Oryctolagus cuniculus: one gene and its partner. The protein of the gene in region 1 interacts with the protein of each later gene in a biochemical or structural test. Links are inferred from orthologs where the notes say so. Each region holds a gene or a part of one and is shown in the gene's direction. Other genes may lie near its edges. The genes, in order: ATF4 and CREBZF.

Evidence for each region.
Region 2: the proteins of ATF4 (region 1) and CREBZF form a complex in vitro, tested with the Homo sapiens proteins (2 studies listed by IntAct, with this or other methods). The link is inferred for Oryctolagus cuniculus from reciprocal best matches to the Homo sapiens genes ATF4 and CREBZF.

What each region holds. Positions count from the first base shown.
Region 1 is NC_091442.1:115,754,676-115,758,711, forward strand, and holds ATF4 (cyclic AMP-dependent transcription factor ATF-4), read left to right. Parts: upstream 1-1,540; 5' UTR 1,541-1,744; intron 1,745-2,192; 5' UTR 2,193-2,293; coding exon 2,294-2,510; intron 2,511-2,599; coding exon 2,600-3,408; 3' UTR 3,409-3,460; downstream 3,461-4,036. UniProt on the Homo sapiens protein: Transcription factor that binds the cAMP response element (CRE) (consensus: 5'-GTGACGT[AC][AG]-3') and displays two biological functions, as regulator of metabolic and redox processes under normal cellular conditions, and as master transcription factor during integrated stress response (ISR).
Region 2 is NC_091432.1:76,750,634-76,754,149, reverse strand, and holds CREBZF (CREB/ATF bZIP transcription factor), read left to right. Parts: upstream 1-1,429; 5' UTR 1,430-1,582; coding exon 1,583-2,677; 3' UTR 2,678-2,885; downstream 2,886-3,516.

The sequences.
Region 1 (4,036 bases):
GGCATCCCATGTGGCACCGCTTCGTGTCCCAGCTGCTCTGCCGCTGGCCTGGGAAAGCAGGAGAAGATGCCCTTGCGCTCTGCACCCCGCGGGCGGCCCGGAGCTCCGGCCATTGAACTGGGGAGTGAACCAGCGGATGGAGGAGCTCTCTCTGCCTCCCTGTGACTCTTACCTCTCAAATAAGTTTAAAAAACTTGCTTCTTTACTTGAAAGGCAAAAATTAGGAGTTCTTCCATCTGGTTCGTTCCCCAGATGGCCAAGAGCTGGAACTCCGCCGGGTCGCCCACGTGGGCGCAGGGGCGCAAGCACGGCTCTCCCGGGCGCATCAGCAGGGAGCGGGCGGGACTCCCGGGATGGATGCGGGGTCGCGGTGGCGGCGCGGGAGTCCCACCCCCACCGCCTTCCTCCTGACCCCCGGGCAGAGTGCCGCGCCCTAGGCCTCGGCCGCCGGTCAGTTCCGGGAGGAGCCCCCTGAGGAAGCAGAGTGACCCCACAGGGGTAGCCGGGAGTGGGGACCCCGAGTTAGCGTGGCGGGAGCGCGTCCCGCGCGCGGGCCGGGCCCCAGCACGGCCAGTGTCCGCCAACAGACGGGGGCGCCGGGGCTGCCCGTGCACCCTGGGAAGGGTGGCCCTGGCCCCAGGGCAGGTTGTCTGTCCAGCCAGCAGCGCTCGCGGAAGGGACGCGGGAGTGGAGCTCTGCGGGCCGGGGCCCGGCTCCCCGGGAACTCCTGTCCCCCGCAGGGCCACCGGGCCTTGTCCGGAGCTCGTGGGAACCACCCGGGGTCGCAGCGGGGCTGAGCCTGCAGAGGCCAGAGGCGTCCCCGCAGCGACGCCCTGCAGCAGAAAGGGCGCCGCGGACACGCAGGCTGGCCAGCGGCTCGCGGAGGTCAGCGGGAGGACGCAGAGCCGGCCCCGGACGGCGGCAGGCTCCCCGGCCCCGAGGCCCGGGCCCGCTCGCGGCGGGCTCGCTCGGAGGCCGCTGGGCGCTGATTTCTACCGCTGCGGCCGCCGAGGCTACAACCAAAGGCACGGCTGCACGCCAGGCCGCTCCCGCCCTTTCCCGCGCAGACCCGGGCCCCTTCGCCGAGTGGCCCGCCCCCCTCGGGCCCTGAGCCAATAGGAGCTCAAGGTATATATGACTCCTCAGGCCTGAGCCAATCATCTCGACGCGCGCTCCCCGCCAGCGTCTCGCGCGATAGCCGGGCGGCCTCGGCCTTCACAATAAAAAGCCTCCTTGGAATGAAAGGCTCTTCACGCCCCGCCCCTGAGAGAGATCCCTCCGCGCATCCGGGCATCCGAGGGGGAAAGGACGAGACTCTTTGATCTTGGACGCCTTGTAAAGTAGTGCGCCTTTTTCCCGACGTGAGATCTTGAAAGTAAACTACTTTTCTGTACATGGCTACGCCTCGGACATAAAAGCTCGGGGGAGGAAAGTGGTGGGGACGCCGGGGAGTGGGCAGGAGGCGCGGGTCACATGGCCGCGGCGGAAGGATGCGTCCTGTGATGCGGCTCGGAGGCGACCAAGTCTATAAAAGCCCGGCGGGCCGCGCGCCGCCGCCATTACCGCTGCGCCCGCCCGTCGATGTAGATCTCTTGCGAGCCGTGCCCTTCCTCCTCCCGTCCCGCAGGGCCGCGGCCACCATGGCGTATTAGAGGCAGCAGTGCCTGCGGCAGCGTTGGCCTTTGCAGCGGCGGCAGCAGCACCAGGCTCTGCAGCGGCAACCCCCAGCGGCTTAAGCCATGGCGTGAGTACCGGGCCGGGCGAGGGGGCCGGGGCCCGGCGTCTGCGGGCCCTGGGCCTGGGCCTGGGCTTGGGCGCGGCCTGCGGCCGGGGGTCGGGGCCGCGTCGCCGAGGCGGAAGCGGTTTTACGAGCGCCGGGGACGCGTGGTTCCTGCTTGCGTGTCCTTGGGCGGGGTCGGGAGAGCGCGGCCCGGCGCCCGCGTCCCCGGGGAGGTGGGGGCGCGCTGTCCTCGGAGCCCCGGCCCCCGCTCTGCGCCGGCGGGGGTCGCGGTGGCCGCCCCGCGAAACGTGGCGGCGGCCAAGATGGCGGCGGGAGGCGGCGCGGGGTGAGTCACGGGGCGGGGCCGGGCGGGCGGGCCGGGCGCCGGCCCCGGCGGGGGCGGCCATGGCCGCTGTGCACCTGCCGCCCGGCCGGCCCCCGCCCTGATGGCGCCCCTGCCGCTCGCCCGCAGGCTCCTCACGGCACCCAGCAGCAGCGTTGCTGTCACGGACAGAGACACCTTCGAGCTGAGCCCCTGCCCCGGTTCCAGCGCAGCCCCGCGACACGGCCGACATGAGCTTCCTGCACAGCGCGGGGTTGGCGGGGGACTTGGCGTCCCCCTTCGACCAGGCGGCTTTGGGGGCTGAGGAGGGCCTGGGGCTCCTGGACGACTACCTGGAGGTGGCCACGCCCTGGAAGCCTCCCGGGCCCCCCGGCGACAAGGCTGCGGCGGGCTCCTCGGAATGGCTGGCGGCGGACGGGCTGCTGGGCGCCCCCGCCGACGGCAAGGGTGAGCGCCGCGGGGGGTGGGGGTGGGAGGGGGCGCCCGTGTCGGGGGGGGGGCGCCGGCCTCACGCGCCCTCGCTCGCGCCCCCGCAGAGGACGCCTTCTCCGGGACGGACTGGATGTTGGAGAAAGTGGACCTCAAGGAGTTCGACTTCGACGCCCTGCTGAGCTTGGACGACCTGGAGGCCGTGCCCGACGAGCTGCTGGCCACGCTGGACGACTCGTGCGACCTCTTCGCCCCCCTGGCCCTGGACGCGCTCAAGGAGCCGCCCCAGGCAGGGAGCCCGCTCGGCCCCCTCCCCGCGAGCCTGCCGCAGGTCGCCCCCTGCACCTTCCTGCAGCCCCTGCCCCTGTCGCTGGGGGTCGCGGCCGCCTCCCCGGATGAGTCGTTCAGCTTGGAGCTGGGCAGCGAGGTGGACATCGCGGACGGGGACCGGAAGCCCGAGTCGCCCGGCCTGGGCCCCGTGGTCCCGCAGGGCGTCAAGGAGGAGGACAGCCCCTCCGACAACGACAGCGGCGTCTGCATGAGCCCCGAGTCCTGCCCGGGCTCCCCGCAGCGCAGCCCCTCCGCCCCCACCCCCAGGGGCTCCCCGCACAGGGGCCCCCCCGCCCCGGCCCGCCCCAAGCCCTACGAGCCTGCGGCGGCCGCGGCGGCGCGCGTGAAGGGCGAGAAGCTGGAGAAGAAGCTCAAGAAGATGGAGCAGAACAAGACGGCCGCCACGCGCTACCGGCAGAAGAAGCGGGCGGAGCAGGAGGCGCTGGCGGGCGAGTGCCGGGGGCTGGAGGAGCGCAACGCGGCCCTGCGGGAGAGGGCCGACGGCCTGGCCAAGGAGATCCAGTACCTCAAGGACCTGCTGGAGGAGGTGCGGGCGGCCCGCGGCAGGAGGAGGGTCCCCGCCTAGGGCGCACGCACAGGAGGCTCCGCTGTTAATAAATTATTTTGTAGTGAAAGCATTCCTGGGAGTTGTCCTGTGGCTCACACCCTCTGGGCGTGGTGGGGCGGGCAACAAGAGTCCCACGCGGGATGGTGGGATCTGGTCTGGGGCGGGCACTCACTCCATGAGTGGCTGCAACTTCCTTGTTCGGTGTTCCTGTGTGTGTGTGTGGGGGTGGTCACTGGCTCCAGCCTGCACACACACAGATCATGGGAGAGCTGTCTATTCGAAGGCAGAGTTGGAGACGGTCCTCCATCTGCTGGCTCACACACCCAATGGCCACGGCAGCCAGGGCTGGGCTGCAGCAGAAGCCTGGAGCTGACAGATGCAGGGGCCCAAGCACTCACCACAGCAGAGAGCTGCAGCAGCTGGGATTCGAACTGGCACCCACATGGGGTTCTGGCACTGCAGGCTGCTTCACCTGCTATGCCCCAGCACTGGCCCTGAGCTGGGGGGCCAGACCCCGCTGTTCTGGGCCAGCCGTTAGGGACAGCCACAGTCTGGGACCGGGACCCATTGTCAGATTCCCCGAATCCTCCACATGAGTCTCCCTTGTCTCAATCTCAGGGAGCCGCCCAGAGGTCCCCCGTGTGTT
Region 2 (3,516 bases), on another chromosome or scaffold:
GCCTCGGCTAGTTGCTCCGGCTTTATACAGTGGTGTTTCTGTGGCATAGGGGAGCCAGCAGGAAGGAAAACTAACTCTAGAAGGAAATACCATTCCACTGGGTTTTGGTATTGGCTTAGCCGCCAGAAGTGTCCCATTAATGACCTATGCCACCCATCCGTAATGAAGCAGGATACCAACATTTCTTCCTAGTACTTAGGATCCCCAACTCCTGAAAACCCCTCTGAATTGTTGTGAAGTTTTAGTGTCTCAGAAATTTTTTCTAATAAAAATGATTAAAGTAATTCCTAGTTTAAAAAAAACCAGTCCTATAAAAGCAGCTATTGTTGAGACTGCCACAATATTGACTCCCATAGAGACCTGTAAGAGCTATTAAGTAGATAAGTGATTAAAGAATTCATACACACCTTATTTATGAACAAAGTAAGGAAAGTTTGTTTTCTCTCTTTTTATTTGTACTACCAGGAAGCCTAATCTGTTTTTAGTTCAACTTGGGTAACTATGTAAGATATTGAATCCATACTACTTCAATATTAATCTTTTCCACCGCTGGAATTCTTTACCTGGTTATTTCATCTATGCTTTCATTGGTCTTATTTTTAAAGAAAACTTGAATTGCTTTGTTTCACTGGATTATAGCATAATTAAATACTGTTTCAAATCTCAAATCCCTTGAGGGGCCAGAGGAATAACACATGAAAAGACACATCCAGAATGTTCAAGATAACTGACCTCGTCTCTTCAAAAAGCCAATGTTAAGAAAAAGTAGAGTGTGGAGGGAACAGTTGTAGTTTGAGAAGTGGAAATGGAAAAAATAAATAAAACCCTAAAACAACCAAATGCAATAAGTGACTGCTTGAATCTGAGCTCGGAAGAAAGTATCTGCTAGAAAAGATTATTTTGAAACTGAGGACATCTGAATATGTCCCGAATATTAATAATATTAGTAAATGAATGGCACTCTTCTCAGGAATTGATACCTGCATTATGATTACGAAAGAGAATGTATTTTTAGAGATACGAAACGAATATGCAGGGTGGGGCGTTCTGTCTGCAATTTGGGAATGATTCAGCACCAACATAATTGCTTACGAACAGTTACATATAAGAAGAAAATGTTACTTGTAAAGTGCTGAAGTTTTGAGTCTGGGTATCGGGTAACATTGATTTCGGGGTGAAAATCTGGGTTTTATTTATTTATTTTGCCGCTGTTACTATGACATCACTAAATTACCAGAATTACTGCTACTCCAAAGCACCCTAAACTCTCGCGATATCACTGCTTGGTGGCGCGCGAAAGGCGGTGGGAGGGGCTGTTGGAGGAGGACCGACTTCCGTCCAGGCCGTTGTCTGGGTGGCGCGGCCGAGTCATCGCCGGGCCTCGCCGCTTCCATCTTCCGTTCCTGGCCCCCGCACCGGTGCGGGGGGTCCATCAGCCAAGCCAGGCGGCAGGCGACTGAAATTTACCTTCCATTTCATTTCGCCCGGCGCCCCGGCTGCCCGCGCTGGGGCCTGGGGCCTTTGGGGCCCGCGAGGCCCAGTCTGAGGGGCCGGGGCCTACGCTGGCCCGTCGCTGGGCCCCATGAGGCATAGCCTGACCAAGCTGCTGGCAGCGTCGGGCAGCGACTCCCCCACCCGCAGCGAGAGCCCGGCGCCGGCTGCGACCTGCTCGCTGCCCCCGGACGTGACTCGGGCGGCGGTGGCGGCAGCGTCGGCAGCGGCGGAGGAGGAGACGGCGGCGGCCGGATCTCCCGGCCGCCAGCAGCCGCACGGCGACGCTGACGAGCTGGAGGCCGGGCGGGGGAGCCGCGGCGGCCTGGCCGTCCGCGCGCCCTCCCCCGAGGAGATGGAGGAAGAAGCGATTGCCAGCGTCCCCGGGGAAGAGACCGAGGACATGGACTTTCTGTCAGGGCTGGAACTGGCGGATCTCCTGGACCCTCGGCAGCCGGACTGGCACCTGGAGCCCGGGCTCAGCTCGCCTGGGCCTCTCTCCTCGTCCGGCGGAGGCTCGGATAGCGGCGGCCTTTGGAGAGGGGACGACGACGACGAGGCCGCGGCCGCTGAGATGCAGCGCTTCTCCGACCTACTGCAGAGGCTGTTAAACGGTATCGGAGGCTGCAGCAGCAGCAGTGACAGTGGCGGCGGCGAAAAGAGGCGGAGAAAGTCCCCGGGAGGCGGAGGCGGCGGCGGCAGTGGTGGCGGCGGCGGCAACGACAACACCCAGGCGGCGACAAAGAGTCCCCGGAAGGCGGCGGCGGCCGCTGCCCGTCTAAATCGGCTGAAGAAGAAGGAGTACGTGATGGGGCTGGAGAGTCGAGTCCGCGGTCTGGCAGCCGAGAACCAGGAGCTGCGGGCCGAGAATCGGGAGCTGAGCAAACGCGTGCAGGCACTGCAGGAGGAGAGTCGCTACCTACGGGCCGTCTTGGCCAACGAGACTGGACTGGCTCGCTTGCTGAGCCGGCTGAGCGGCGTGGGACTGCGGCTGACCACCTCGCTCTTCAGAGACTCGCCCGCCGGTGACCACGACTACGCGTTGCCCGTGGGAAAGCAGCAGCAGGACGTGCTGGAAGAGGACGACTCAGCGGGAGGAGTGTGTCTTCATGTGGACAAGGATAAGGTGTCGGTGGAGTTCTGCTCGGCGTGCGCTCGGAAGGCGTCGTCGTCTCTTAAAATGTAGGGTCAAGTAATCTGCTCTTTATCCGCGTTTACCCCTTTCAACTCCCTTACTCCATGTAAAACACCTTAGTGGGACATCTTCACTGGACACATTTCAGAGGAGGAAAAAAAGTAATATTGAGTCTTTAAGTGTTTAGCTAAAAGCATGAATGTGACACTGTAACCAACTCCTAATGATAACCTGTGACTATTAAATCTCTCTGACAGTTTCTTTTTTAGGTGATTTCCTTCCTGCCAGGCTCCGTTGTAGGGGTTACAGAACAGTCGTTCCCGCCTCACAACCTGGTAAGGATCCATCTCTTCACGTAACGCTCATGCTCTGCTGCTTAGTCTACTTTAATGGGCAACATCTCAATTTGTGTGTGTGTGATCTTTTTGTTTTTTCTTTTTTGGAAGGTGGGAGGGGAATCTAATTTGGGCCCTGTCCACCCTGGAAACAGACTTGTGCTGGTCAATAATGTATTTAAGATGCTTCTTCTGGTTGAAATAGCTGTTAATGTGTCCCCTTGTTCAGACTTGCGTGTACCTAGCTCTTCTGTCCCCAGTGTGGACATGGCCTTGGATGACATCGGTTCCAACTGTACACTGAAACCTGCTTATAGAGATACAGTTTGGAGACAGTGAAACAGGTGAAGTTGAATGGAAGTTCCGAGTTGTACAAGGTGCAAATTGGAATTCCAATTTTAATGCAACTTTTCAGAGGTTGACAAATAAGTATTTGGGGCATGCACATATGTAATAGTTATTTTGCTGGAGATGACAGAAATCTTTTAAATATTCAAGAATGCCTTTTAGGTTTTCAGTAGAAGATACAGAAATTCAGCCTACTGAAAGTAACAT